Linked DNA regions of Bombyx mori. The protein of the gene in region 1 purifies or fractionates together with the protein of each later gene. This does not show direct contact. Links are inferred from orthologs where the notes say so. Each region holds a gene or a part of one and is shown in the gene's direction. Other genes may lie near its edges.

Evidence for each region.
Region 2: the proteins of succinate dehydrogenase [ubiquinone] flavoprotein subunit, mitochondrial (region 1) and succinate--CoA ligase [GDP-forming] subunit beta, mitochondrial fractionate together in Homo sapiens (co-fractionation; 3 studies listed by BioGRID, with this or other methods). This does not show direct contact. The link is inferred for Bombyx mori from reciprocal best matches to the Homo sapiens genes SDHA and SUCLG2.
Region 3: the proteins of succinate dehydrogenase [ubiquinone] flavoprotein subunit, mitochondrial (region 1) and succinate dehydrogenase assembly factor 2-B, mitochondrial purify together in Homo sapiens (co-immunoprecipitation; 3 studies listed by BioGRID and IntAct, counting the BioPlex papers as one, with this or other methods). This does not show direct contact. The link is inferred for Bombyx mori from reciprocal best matches to the Homo sapiens genes SDHA and SDHAF2.

What each region holds. Positions count from the first base shown.
Region 1 is NC_085109.1:8,413,563-8,417,868, reverse strand, and holds the end of succinate dehydrogenase [ubiquinone] flavoprotein subunit, mitochondrial, read left to right. Parts: intron 1-1,288; coding exon 1,289-1,524; intron 1,525-2,195; coding exon 2,196-2,351; 3' UTR 2,352-2,369; intron 2,370-2,696; 3' UTR 2,697-3,491; downstream 3,492-4,306. UniProt on the Homo sapiens protein: Flavoprotein (FP) subunit of succinate dehydrogenase (SDH) that is involved in complex II of the mitochondrial electron transport chain and is responsible for transferring electrons from succinate to ubiquinone (coenzyme Q).
Region 2 is NC_085121.1:7,626,191-7,631,108, reverse strand, and holds the start of succinate--CoA ligase [GDP-forming] subunit beta, mitochondrial, read left to right. Parts: upstream 1-1,790; 5' UTR 1,791-1,856; exon of another isoform or gene 1,857-1,883; intron 1,884-2,041; 5' UTR 2,042-2,263; intron 2,264-2,383; 5' UTR 2,384-2,423; coding exon 2,424-3,098; intron 3,099-3,361; coding exon 3,362-3,517; intron 3,518-4,515; coding exon 4,516-4,750; intron 4,751-4,918. UniProt on the Homo sapiens protein: GTP-specific succinyl-CoA synthetase functions in the citric acid cycle (TCA), coupling the hydrolysis of succinyl-CoA to the synthesis of GTP and thus represents the only step of substrate-level phosphorylation in the TCA.
Region 3 is NC_085119.1:6,985,723-6,990,521, reverse strand, and holds the start of succinate dehydrogenase assembly factor 2-B, mitochondrial, read left to right. Parts: upstream 1-1,671; 5' UTR 1,672-1,826; coding exon 1,827-1,868; intron 1,869-1,992; coding exon 1,993-2,126; intron 2,127-4,799.

The sequences.
Region 1 (4,306 bases):
GACGTTACTGCAATATATATGCAGCGTTTTTTACTGGTGGTTGTATTGGTCTGTATTGACATATCAATAAATTTTTTTTGTCCAAATGCACAGATTGCCACCTTTGATAATAAACGACTCATATAAACCTTCCTCTTCAATCACTCTATTAAAAAAACCGCAATAAAATCCGTTGCGTAGTTTTAAAAATTTAAGCATACATAGGGACAGACAGATATAGGGACAGAGAAAGCAACTTTGTTTTATGCTGTGTAGTGATATAAAAACGAAATTTTAGTTTAATTGTACCGTCTCGTGCCTAGCGTCGTTTACTCCTTTTTGTTTATATTATAATATTGTACACATATATCTGAACATTATAGATATGTTATTGAAATAGTGTGTTTGACTTTTATTATATTCCGAGTGAAAATATCCCGCGAACACGAAGAATCAATAACAAACCACACCTGTACACACAGTAAACACACACTGACTTCAGTACGCTTCTAAATAGTTTGAAAGGAAAGTAATTCGAAATCGCATGCTTATTCAAGTTCGTAAAGTCGTAACTCGCATAATAATATCTCGTCGAACGAGGATTTAATGTAACGGAATAGAATCATATCAAATAAATAAAAAAATTTATTCATCATAAATGAAATTATATATGTACTTGTTGAACGTCAAAAAGAACTACTGCCAATTCAGAAAAACTAGCCTCCGTTCTGAGAAGAACTGGCAAGAAACTCAGCGGGCATATTGTATTTTTTCTTTTTTTTAATATTAGATTTTTTTTAAATATTAATTTTTACAATGTGTATTATAACGTAACAATTATTGCAATATTGAAATGCCCGGAGCGAGCAAGTAAGAAACGCTGTAAAGAGGTTCATCTCTATAATTTCCCGTTCATGTGATCGATGATGATTTTTGGAACGAAGTTCCTTATCGCGCGTTGTGAAAGGGGGCTAGACGGAAAAAATTAAGACGAAAAGTTGTAACGACACTTTTTGCTATAGTTGTAATCCGTGCGGCGTGCGAGTGTTTTTCTGTCTGTCTCTCCCATTGAAAACAAAGCAGTTATTTTAATTAATTGATTATAATTATATAAATATATTTTATAAAATAAAATTTTATTTTTTATTACTATTCCTTCACTAATTAATCGAAAGGAACTTCGTTCCATCCAGGTGTCCCTTGACACCTCTCAAGTTTTTTTCACCGATTTTTTTATTTTAGTGCCATTATTTTTGTTATTTGCAATTGTAAAATGTTATAAAGTGAATTTTCGTTTTTTCTAACACAGGTCAACGTCAAATTCACGAGATCTACAAGCAGATAAAAGACGTGAAGGTGTCCGACCGGTCCTTGATCTGGAACAGTGATCTAGTGGAGACGCTGGAGCTTCAGAATCTTCTCATCAACTCGGTACAGATCGTGGAGGGAGCACTGGCGCGGGAGGAGTCGCGCGGAGCCCACGCCCGAGAGGACTTCAAGACCAGACGCGACGAGTACGACTACTCTAAACCTCTCGAGGGACAGGTGAGATATTAATGTAATGCCTTCTTGGGGATTGTCAACACAAATTTCGGGGAAAGGTACAATCATCAAGGTGTATCAGAAAAAGAGGGTTAATAAAAGTGCATAATTTTCAGGCATGTAACAATATTATGCAGTTAAAGCTGTCGTTTAGTACTATTTTTTTTGGCGATTAAACTCTCGACAACTAAAAGCAGATGAATTTTCATCGAAAAAAGACAATATTCAATCAAAAAAGTTGTAACATTGTATGGCACATTATTTAATTTAAACTATTTTAAGCCCAATGGATTTAATGTCATACGTACCGAACTGTCTGCGTGAAGCTAGCTTTTCTACCTATTAGATCGCATTAACGTTAATTATGGCCCACTGAGTTTCTCGCCGGATCTTTCCAGCGAGTCGCATTTCCGATCCGGTGGTAGATTCTGCGAAGCACTGCTCTTGCTAGGGCCAGTTTTAGCAACGTCGTCAGGTTTGAGCCCCGTGAGCTCACTTACTTGTTAGGTTACTAAAAAAATAAGTCAATTAAGATTTGCAAGGATTCCAAACATCGCCATCTAGTGGCCATAATGGGAAACACTATACGTAGGGAGAAAAAAAAAAATACTCAGCTTTATGTTGTTCATCGTATTAAATCCAGTCAAATAACTATCGTCGTCTATCACCTACAGAGTAAGTTGCCGTTCGAGCAGCACTGGAGGAAGCACACGCTCGCCGAGACGGACCCCGCGACCGGCGACACGCGCCTCACCTACCGCCCCGTCATCGACCGCACGCTCGACGCCGCCGAGTGCAGCACCGTGCCGCCCGTCATCCGCACCTACTAGCCGCCGCCAACACCGCAAGTAGGACTCTACTAACCATCCTTGAAATCAGTCAACTTAGAATGGATCACGTGGAAGTTTTTTTTTTATTGCTTGAATGGGTGGACGAGCTCACAGCCCACTTGCTGTTAAGTGGTTATTGGAGCCCATAGACATCTACGACGTAAATGCACCACCCACCTTGAGATATGTTCTAAAATCTCACTATAGTTACAACGGCTGCCCCACCCTTCAAACCGAAACGCATTACTGCTTCACGGCAGAAATAGGCAGGGTGGTGATACCTACCCGTGCGGACTCACAAGAGGTCCCACCACCAGTAATAATTTTTTCTCCATCTGTACACAGGGCTACATTGAAACATTTTTGAACGTGAATGACCAACGCGAGACCAACACAGCCCGACGTGCGGCGCCCGCCCGATACTTCTTTAGTGTTCAAACGAAACGCCACTGTTTAGTATAAATGTTATGTTAACATTAATAATTTATTTTTTATTTAAGATTTAAGTTTCACTAGTTCAATCTCTGAAATGTAAATTTTTTAATCTAAACTATAATAACATTGAAAATAATTATGTACAAATGAAACAGTGCCAGATACTCAATAGTGTGCCAGAAATATCTAAATACGAACGTGTATCATGAGAGTACACCAGCAGACTATAATTCATGTAAACTATAAACCGTTAAGACGGAATGCGGCATTTATTGTGGTTTTTAAACGTTGTACAAATTATTACAGCAGCATATCTATCTTAAGTACTTAAAGAAACAATAAAGAAATCTGTATCATCTAAGATAATAATAATATGACAATACATGTTACTTTAAAATTTTAACGACATTATTGAATAGTTACATAGTTGTGTAAGTTTTTACTCAGGAAATAACGGAAATATTCACTGGTGTTTGTTCCTTTTATAATCTAAATCCCATAAAAATCAGTTTGTAACAAAGCCAGGGTCGGAGCTTGTCCAGTTAAGCTTTTCGACGCTTACAGATATGTAAAATGTTCATGCGCTAATTTTATTTTGTAAATTTTGAATATCGTTTCTCAGTATTATTTATAGATTATATATATATTTGAAATGTACATACCCGCAACATTATATGAATCAGAAATAAATGTGATGTAACTTTATATTATCGTTTTCTTTTTCAAGTAAGAACTTATAGATTAATAGGATTTGTTTTCAATTTCGACACATGTATACGAGTCCCAATCGATACCGAGCTATTTATTATTTCTTATGCCTTTGATCAGTACTGATAAATACGGCCCAGCTGTTAAATGCTCACTGATATTCAAGGACCATTAACTACCGTTAACGGTAAGATTTCAATCTCATTTGAAAGTCATAGCGTTCATGAAACGCTTTGGAACTGTTCATGTCAGAGACTAATGATTTGTTGGGATGAAGAAGGGAGAGCGCAATTGTTCCAGTAGTGCGGACGAACTCTGCTGTAGTGGTGGACGGTGCGGTGATGGTAAAAATCGAGATTTGTGGGATCGCCATAATCAATCATTCATTCATAATTGAACATGAGGCACTGAACATTCATATTTTAAGAGACTATCCCGAATTTGTATACATCCAAATTAAACATTCTATCAAATATAGATTTTTCCTTTATAATCAGAGCGGGACCACCTAAGATTAAGTAGCTCATTCTAACATGGAAAATTCAGTCACGCTATGCACTCCATAGACTGCATATAGTTGCCAATCAAATGAAATATGGCAATTATAGTTCATTTACCAAATGCTTAAGATAATAGATGCAGCTGAAAATATAATAGGGGACCCTGTGTAATAGTAATAAAAAAGTCATGGCTACTTTTGGAAATTATTATGAATTATATTCATTTTATATTACTTATATACAATTGCGCCTGGTTGCATTTTCATCCCAAGTATCTACGTACGTAGATACGAATATTTGCGGTTATTTTTA
Region 2 (4,918 bases), on another chromosome or scaffold:
CTTTTCAAATAAGTTAGAATAATATAATGAATAGGTAAGTCATCACAGCACACAACCAAAATTAAACTGAACAAATCGTGCGTCGTCCGTAGGTTTATGCATCTATCTAAAGTACCACAGACTTATTTATTTCAAGGTACTGATCTCTCTTGACTTGCGGCGATATGCTGGGAGAGATTGGATGCGGAAGGCGGAGGATCGTTCATTGTGGCGGACTATGGGAGAGGCCTACATCCAGCAGTGGAGAGATATAGGCTGATGATGATGATGATCTCTCTTGTAACATTCCATACTTTTAGCAACAAATAAACTAGCCCGTGCTTTCTGAGTTCAACATAATGTCTTCAGATCCAAATAGGTCCAGACACTAGATAATCTTAGTGTAGTAAACAATTATATGAATATAATTTTTAAATTGTGATAATAATTCACTTACAGAAAAGAACCCTCCTTATGTGCCTTTTAGATTTTACATTTATTTGATAAGCTTAAACATTTAGTCCTAATAATTTTATAGTAAAAAAGATATTTATCCATGTCGAATCTTATTCGGAATCGAAATTTAACTTAACAATAAATGTAAAGATTTGTTTTGTATTGTTTTGAGAAACAAAGGAAAGAAACCTATTTACTTTCTTAAATTAATAAAAAGAAGATGACTATTTACGAAACATGTAATTTTAAATTAATAATTATGACATGTTAATTGTAATTATGACAATTATGTCCTTAGCCAATACATTAATTTAAATTGCTTTTTTTTTTCCTACCTAAGCTGGTAGCCTGGAGCGGCTATTCTAGCGTAACCGTAACTAGTAGGTGAGCTCACGGGGCTCAAACCTGATGACGATGCTAACACGAACTCTAGCAAGAGTCGTGCTTCGCAGAATCTACCACCGGATCGGAAACGCGACCCACTGAGAAGATCCGGCGAGAAACTCAGTGGGCTGTGTCTGAGAGTTAATTTACTCGTCAAGCCCTTCGTCGCAAGCGACGGGTTCGACAAGAACGGTGACCTTTTAAGTTGCAGTAAGCTCGCTCGATGCTTAAAATGACAACTATTTACTTTTATTCCTATTTACAGAAGAAGTGCTTTTTTCCTTCTTAATTAATATATTTAAATTAGCTTTTTAAATTTTTCCACTTGCTATTATGGCGCCGTCTTAATTCGCTCCCTTTCACCGGATATTTTTTAATAACAGGTTGCCGAAAAAGTTTCTTCGCATTTTTTAAGAAAATTCACAACATTTTTTTAATATAGTTTATTTACAATTAACTAAAGTATGTAGGTACCATTTTGTTCAATAACTTTTTGCCTTCTTGTAGGTAGGGACATGATCCTATTGCTGTAGAAATTTTGAAGCTTCTGATCAAAATACCGCGACAATTGGTTTTGGCAATCCTCTCGTGATGATAACCTGAGACTGCCTAAAGAGACCGAAACAGGTGGAATCTGAAGATGCAAGGTCAGGACTATACGGCGGATGCATTAAAACCTCCCAGCCAAGCTCTCTTAATTTTTGCTGAGTGGCTAAAGATGTGTGAGGTCTAGCGTTACCAAAGTTTTTTTACTTTATATGAGGCGTCCTCGTTTTTTACGAGCCTATATATAGTGAAAACCAATATTTTATGAAGACTATGTGGTTTTATAATTTGTCCAAATTTACCAAAACACTGCCTGCGGTATCGCCTTCTTTTCTGAGCTGATTTTTATTTAATCCTTTGACAACATTATTTCATACCACTTCATGTCGTGTTGTCCTAAAGGTCTGGATACCAGGCCATAAATTCCAACTAAAAAAAAAAACCTCACGTCGTGTTTTGTAATTGAAAAAAATACCGCCGCGCCGGATAGAGTAAATGCTTCATTATAAAATTTTATTGTATGTATTTAATGGTAGGTAGCGGGTTGGCTCTGCCCCGGCATTGCTGACGTCCATGAGCAATGGTAACCACTTACTATCAGGAGGGCCGTAACTCGTCTGTCTGCAAAGGTATAACAAAATTAAAAAATAATTATATCCCTTTGCCTGTTCAATAGACGAATCAAACAAAAAAACATAACTTGTTTTACGTGGTGAAGTAAAGTAACTCGTCTCGTAGAGGTTATGAAATAGACTTATTTAAGATAAAAGTACATAATATTAAAGTTCGTTAACGCGAGTGATTTTTCAATTTATCCAATAAAATTTAGTGGAATTTTCCCTGCGCTCCGCAGATTGCAGTTTTTGCAATGAAAATTGTCTAAATTTAGTTCAGTAAGGTGAGTTTTAGTCTTTTAAACTGTGACCAAAGTTCAAATTATATTTTCCTAGCTTGTAATATATTTGCACCGACCATTAGATTCAATAATCAATTAAATTGCGAACCACATCTTTTACAGACTGCCTGTTTCGTGGTTAAGATTCAGTTAAAATTAAATTATGGCCGCTTTTAAGAATTTAAAAAGTTTTAAACTCATAAACCTTGCTTCGTCCACATATTGTCCACGAGTAATTTCAACAAGACACCTAAATCTTCAAGAGCATCATAGCAAAGATCTTCTGAGAAAATATCAGGTTTCCATTCAGGACTTCAGAATTATTGATTCCAAACTAGATACGAATGCCTTATCTGGTTTTAAAGCTGATGAATATGTAGTCAAGGCTCAGATTCTTGCTGGAGGACGAGGAAAAGGTCACTTTGACAATGGGTTTAAAGGGGGAGTTCATCTTACAAAAAACCGGGACAAGATTGTCGACTTAGCTAAAAATATGATAGGAAACAAGCTTATTACTAAACAAACTCCCAAAGAAGGTATTTTAGTAAATAAAGTTATGGTCGCAGAAAGTGTGAATATCAAAAGAGAGACATACTTTAGTATTGTAATGGAGAGAAGTTTTAATGGTGCAGCCATTGTAGCTTCTCCAGCTGGAGGTATGGATATAGAGGCAGTGGCTGAAAAAACCCCACATTTAGTGAAAACAGTTCCAGTAGATATTTTTGAAGGGATTAGTGACAAAGTTGCAAATGAAATAGCTGACTTTTTAGAATTCAAAGGACCACTAAAAAGCAAATGTGCTGAAGAAGTAAAAAAGCTATGGCAGTTGTTTTTGAAGGTATAATTGAATAACAAAAAACAGAAGTTTTAAAGTTAGATAACATTAATCTGTTAATTTTATTGATATATCTAAACAGGCAATGAACTAGCCGCACTGGACATCAATTGGAGAGGTCTATGTTCAGCAGTGGACAGATGATAATGATGATGATGATGATCTAAACATATTTTCATATTGATTTGCCTTTAGGATCCTTTTAAAATATCTTAGACACTAATGTGTAAAAAGAATACATAGTTATTGTTAAAAATCTATTTAAGGTGGATGCTACACAGCTTGAAATTAACCCTCTGGTTGAAACAGATGATGGACGTGTCATTTCAGTTGATGCCAAGATTAATTTTGATGACAATGCTAAGTTTAGACAAAAGGAGATCTTTGCACTTGATGATGTTTCCGAGACTGACCCACGTGAGGTAAGTACAAAATACTGGCTGTAAATTATTTCAATTCATTTATAAAATACCAATATATGGCAACAGATATGCAGCCTGATGCAGGGTAACTTATTATTTAAGAATTATAAACATTATTCAAATAACATAAAAAACATGCCACTGCATACATGTTTTTTGATGTGGTCAACTGTTACTTTTTGTTTTTTTTATTATATTGTTTTTTTTTTTAAATAATGTCTTGGGTATCATAAAATAACATCAGAACCCAAGATAGGATAAAGTGAAAAAACAGTGTGTACTTGACACTATCAATTTATTTTACATAACTCAGTTTATCTTACTTCTGATAAATACGTCATTTGTCTTTATTTTAAATGCAACTATTGCTATCTTTATATCATTTTTGGTTATCTGAATGTCGTGAACTTATTTATTGAACTCATTTTTTTACTGTTTAGAACTGTTTTTATGAAAATGGTAGATGTCACTCAACATTTACATCATAATTTTGTGTAAAAAAGCCCGAATGCAATTTTCTTTAATCATCAATCTTTTAATGATCAAAACATACAAAGAAAGTAGAAATAGGTAATGGTTGAATGTTATTTGAAAAACTCTCGCCTTCAACAATATTAGGTCTCAGTAGGGTTTTATAAAAAAGAATTTTGATATTTAGTGACAGAATCTTGAAACAGAAATATTTAAGCAGGCCGAAATAGCATGATGATATAATATAGTATATAACTATCAAGTACAGTTTCATTAATATTGAAACACATCATTAGGTTTTATAATTTCAATTGCAATTTTTGTGTATGTTTTAGATGGCTTGGTATTCTACGGAGGTCACTATTGGCCATCACTAAGTAGTATCACCAACTGACTCATTACAGTCATAAGTGGACCTTAGTCTGATCCAGTAAATCTCTCCAGCCCAATTTATTTGTGGCTTATTCTCAAACATCACTCCTAAGGCAATATGTTTAGATAAATTTTATTTGTTTTCGGACTTATAGAGAGAAGCAAATTCCCTCAATTTGGTGTACATTGAAATGGATGGAAGTATTGGCTGCATGGTTAATGGTGCAGGACTTGCCATGGCCACTATGGATATCATCACGCTGAATGGTGGCAAACCTGCTAACTTCCTAGACCTTGGAGGTGGAGTTGGTCAATCACAAGTTTCTGCAGCTTTGAAGATTTTAGAGTCTGATCCCAAAGTGAAGACGATTTTCGTCAATGTTTTTGGAGGTAATAACCATAACAATAACTCAGCTACTTCAGTCTTTGCCAAATAATGTAGAAATTTATGACAAGTTGTAACTATGTACACTATTATGACTTTACTAAATAATGCATTTCATGATACTCCATGTTTTTATAAGGGTTTTTTTTTTATAATTTCTCATAATATTACAT
Region 3 (4,799 bases), on another chromosome or scaffold:
TTGAATAGTTGTAATTAGTAAGTTAGTAATATATGAAAATACTGATATAAATTTTTGTAAATAACCTTTTGTAAATTCTACGAGAAGATGATTTTAATTAATGATCAAAAGTCAACGGTCTTTAAAAGCATTATTTGCAATTATTTAGATTAACTGTGGAATATATTTGCTAAGTTGTGTTTTCTGTATGAGCAGATATAAATGAAAATGCCCAAACATGATTATGTTTCTTACATTTTCATTATGTGAAATGAATATGCTTGTGACTGAGTATATTAATAATTTATTAAAACTTAAGTGATAGACAGCAACCCCTATGGCACTGCTGAAGTTTATAAGCACTGGTGACCACTTATCATGGGCCGGGTTGCGTGCTCGTCTGCTGTTGAGTGCAATAAAAATTTTCGAAACCCTTTCTATTATTTAGATGTAATATTAGTGTACATTTAATTTGGATTAAAAAATAAATTTACATTTTATGTTTGCATGTGTATGTTTATAATTCATTTGCATGTAACGAACACCAGTTTCTTTTGTAACAAAATGTAAACTAATGGTTTGTAATGAATGTAATTAACTTTAAGATGATTTTCTTTCAATCTGCTGTTTGTTTCATCTAGTATTACCAAAGCTAAAGCATCAGAAACGTCAGAATAGAAATAATTTAGATAGGGAATAAAAGTATAACTAATGTAATCATGTCTAAGATTACTATAAGCGTCATTAAGTACAAATTAAGTACAATTAAGTATCAATATTTAAGAGTACTTTAAATCATCATTACATTTTTTAAACATTTTTTGTTTTTCAAATCATGTAATAAAACGTTTGTCAGAACAAAATGTCACATGTTATGAACATGATTGTGGGTTAATCGTTTCTTAAATTTCTAAATGTTTATAAGAATGCTAAGAATAATTTAGTATTCACTTTAGTGTGTGTATTATCTCTACAATGCTAGTATAAATGACAATTATTGTATGACGAAGCATAGGTAGTGTTTATAGATGTAATATTTTCATACAAGGTCATGATCTGTCACGATCAACTTTAAGCAAGAACTGCTATAGTTAAGAAACAAATTTATTAAATTTAATTCAAATTGTCTACTATGTTTGTAATGGAAAGCTGACATGTTTATATTTCGCATAAATGACTTAAGTGACATTGAATGATTTGATTATCTAGACTTAATTACTTTTAGATAACTTTCGATTTAATGTGTACGCTAGTAGGATTATTCTAGAGGAGTTATTGTTATTCGAAATTTTATACAATTGTACGTTCATACAATCTTTTAACAGAAAATTGTTTGTAATATAGGGAAATTAAATAGCTTACAGAGAATTACAGCTTTTTATTTTAAAAAACTGTTTTCTCTCGGTATGAAAAGGTCTTATCGATTAGAATGCTGTACACAATCAAACGTTCTTTAATATTTCATAAGTACTACCGGGAATTTCAGCGATTCTAAACGATAAGATTTTTTCATAAAGAGAGTTAATTATAAAAAATATTAAAATTACTAAAAAAGCCACCTGGCGGGGGGTAGGGAGACTAATAATCGACAGCAGCGACGCCTGCTGTCCCGGGCTCTAACTAAAGCAAAAATAAAAATGAGAGTTGCGCATCTATCTCAAATATATTAAGTGTATAATCTATGTTTAATCCATGTTCTAATTATTCTATGAAGTTGTCACTTGTCATTCTGTCAAAAAAGGAGGAAGGGGATTTTTATTAAAAAATGATCATTTGTATTTATTTGATTTGATTTCGAAACCATTTTACTCAAACGATTATCGTTGTCTAAAATTGATAAAAACAATATGAATTTAATAAAAATGTTGCATACTCGAACCCTTAACCTTGTAAGTACTTTTAACTTACGCTACTAAATAATTAATGGAACTGAAATCTTAGACATGTAGAAATGTGATTTTGTTTTTAGAAATCACTCATGATATGAATTATACGATAATAAAACTATTTCAGTCTTATAATGCACTCAAAAATGTCCAGAAAGTGGCTTTTTCAAGTAATACCACCAACAACATGGATACAACCTACATGGAGATTCCTCTTTATGATGTTGAGAAACAACAACCGCTGGAGAAACGTAAAGCAAGGTAACAAAAGATGGTTAATATAGTGTAAATTTGTTGTTGTGTTGAGTTTTATTGCTCTAAATCAGCAGATATGACTTTTTTATATGCTGTGGATTGGGAGAAACTCATATCCAGCAGTGGACAACCGTACTCTGATGATGATAGTTTTTTCAATGCAACCTTAACTGTATTCAAACAATAACCATTTAACATCTATCTCATGGGTCTGAAAAAGATAATGTCTACACTTCACTCTTTTGTTTATTGAATTTTTTTATTGAATATGTATTTGTTATTTATAAATAAGTTTCTTCTTGAAAACACACTTTTCTTATTAAAAAGCACTTAACAAAAACGACTGAGGTGGTTTTTTGGGAACTGATATGGATTAATGGCATTTCAATTAATTTCAGTGGGGAAAATTACTTTGAGATATGAGCCACTTGACATACGGACAAGGTTACGGAATGAATTAAGCTTGTATGTCGATGTACCACTGTATATCATGGGTGTTAGGAGACTGCTTCCGAAAACGAAGACAGACGATATTACTATGACATCTTGATGATGAAGCTATTTAGACAAATGTTGTAAATAAGTATTTGTGCGATCGTGCGAGTCTGCCCGCGCCGCGCCCTTGCGTTCGTTGATCCGAGCATCAGCTGTTTGATTTTGTGTTTCATCGCTGGTTTTTTTAGTAATGTATTTTTTTATGAAACTATCGTTTCATTTAGCTGTACTAACATGATGGAGCGTAAACAATGCTAATAAAACGTTTTAAAAATATGTTTTTTTTAAATCAGGATCGATTTTTTTCTGTCCTACATCAAAGGTGTCATTAGTACTATCGTCTGTCTTCGTTTTCGGAAACGGTCTCCTAACACCCAGTATAATTGTACATTATTCCAAACAGAGTCGAAAGTAGTAGCACTCAGGGAAAGATTTAGAAAATAATATAAACATCCATGTTGTTCTATGATAACTTACAAGTGTTTATTGCAATATTATCAAAAGCTATTTAATAATCAGGTGTAGCAATAATTCTTTAATAGCCTAAGTGATTTATGAAACAATCTTGAACAAAAACAAAACATCACTTTTATGTAAATACAAAAAATAAATTACATGAATAATACATAAGTAATATTAGGTATGATGAATAATAATAAAAAAATCATTAAATGAAACTTATATTTCTCATCATATATGAAGTTTTTATTCTGTCACTAACTGCTTCTGAATGGGGGTTATTCTTGAAAACTTCCATGAGCATTGATCTGTGGGTAGCTAAGTTGTTATTTTTCACTATGCTCATAAAGAGATATTAGAGGATTGTCCCTATAACTTTGAAATCATTACATGTAATTTTTTAAAGAATACTGACCTTGTATATATCGCACATACGGTGCTATAAAGTCACCTATGCAATTTTTGTTAACACTGAGCTGAGTATGAGAAAATAAATTTTTTTAATAGTTATCAGTGAGATGAAAGAGATCTTTGCTTTTACTGATGAAGTTTAAAGTAGTAGTTTAAATATTATCATTTTATTTCTATAGCCTAGCAGAACTATATATGAATTGTATAATAAGATGTTGAATTTTTCAACGTTTCTCATGAAAAATTACATAATTTGCATAACTGATGTTATTCCACCGTATGTGCATTATATTGTGTTCTAAGTGATTGTTTCCGCTTAATCTGCATCTATTTAATGAGCATGCCAAGATATTTATCATGCTTTATGTAAGATCTTAACTCAGTAACATTGACAACCAAGAGTCCTCTTATTTAAATGTCAATTAGTAAAAATTACTAATTTTGTCTTTTGTGTGGGTTAATTAGTATGTCACATAGCTTGCATTAATTTTGCATTCATGCAGTCTGCTTTCTTGCATACGCTAATGGTTATATAGGCGAATCTCTGAAATTCGTTTTTCTATTTATTGTTAATTAATTAATTTATTTATTTATTATATAATTATTATTTTTTAAATAATTTATCTATTTATTTTGAAGTCGTCGTGGCCAAAAGGATAAGACGTGCGGTGCATTCGTGTTGAACGATGCATCAGTGTTCGATCTCAGGCGGGGCGATTTTTCTAATGAAATACGTACTCAACAAATGTTCACGATTGACTTACACGGTAAAGGAATAACATCGTGTAATAAAAATCAAACCCGCAAAATTATAATTTGCGTAATTACTGTTGGTAAGACCTCTTGAGGTACCACCGCCCTGTCTATTTCTGCCATGAAGCAGTAATGCGTTTCGGTTTGAATGGTGGGGCAGCCGTTGTAACTATACTGAGACCTTAGAACTTATGGACCGTTTATTTTGAAAGTGGTGTAAGTCCATATTTTTTTGTTTCGAGAAAATTAATGGCAAATCATATTATGAGGTCTGGCATTGCTTCTGTTGTTTTATCAACATTGAATTTGTTTATATAAATTTGTTTTTGGCTAATAAGACTACGATAACACATATTTATGTGCTGTAAATGGACTTACACCACTTTCAAAATTAGACAATTGTAAAAATCGGTTAATTTCAATTTTGAAAAATCAAATATCGCTTAAAATATACTTCATTTTAATATAATTTTGTTTACAAATACGCAAAACAACACATAAAATTTTATTTTAGACGGCAATTAAATTACAAGATACTGATTACAAGAATTTACTTATTCT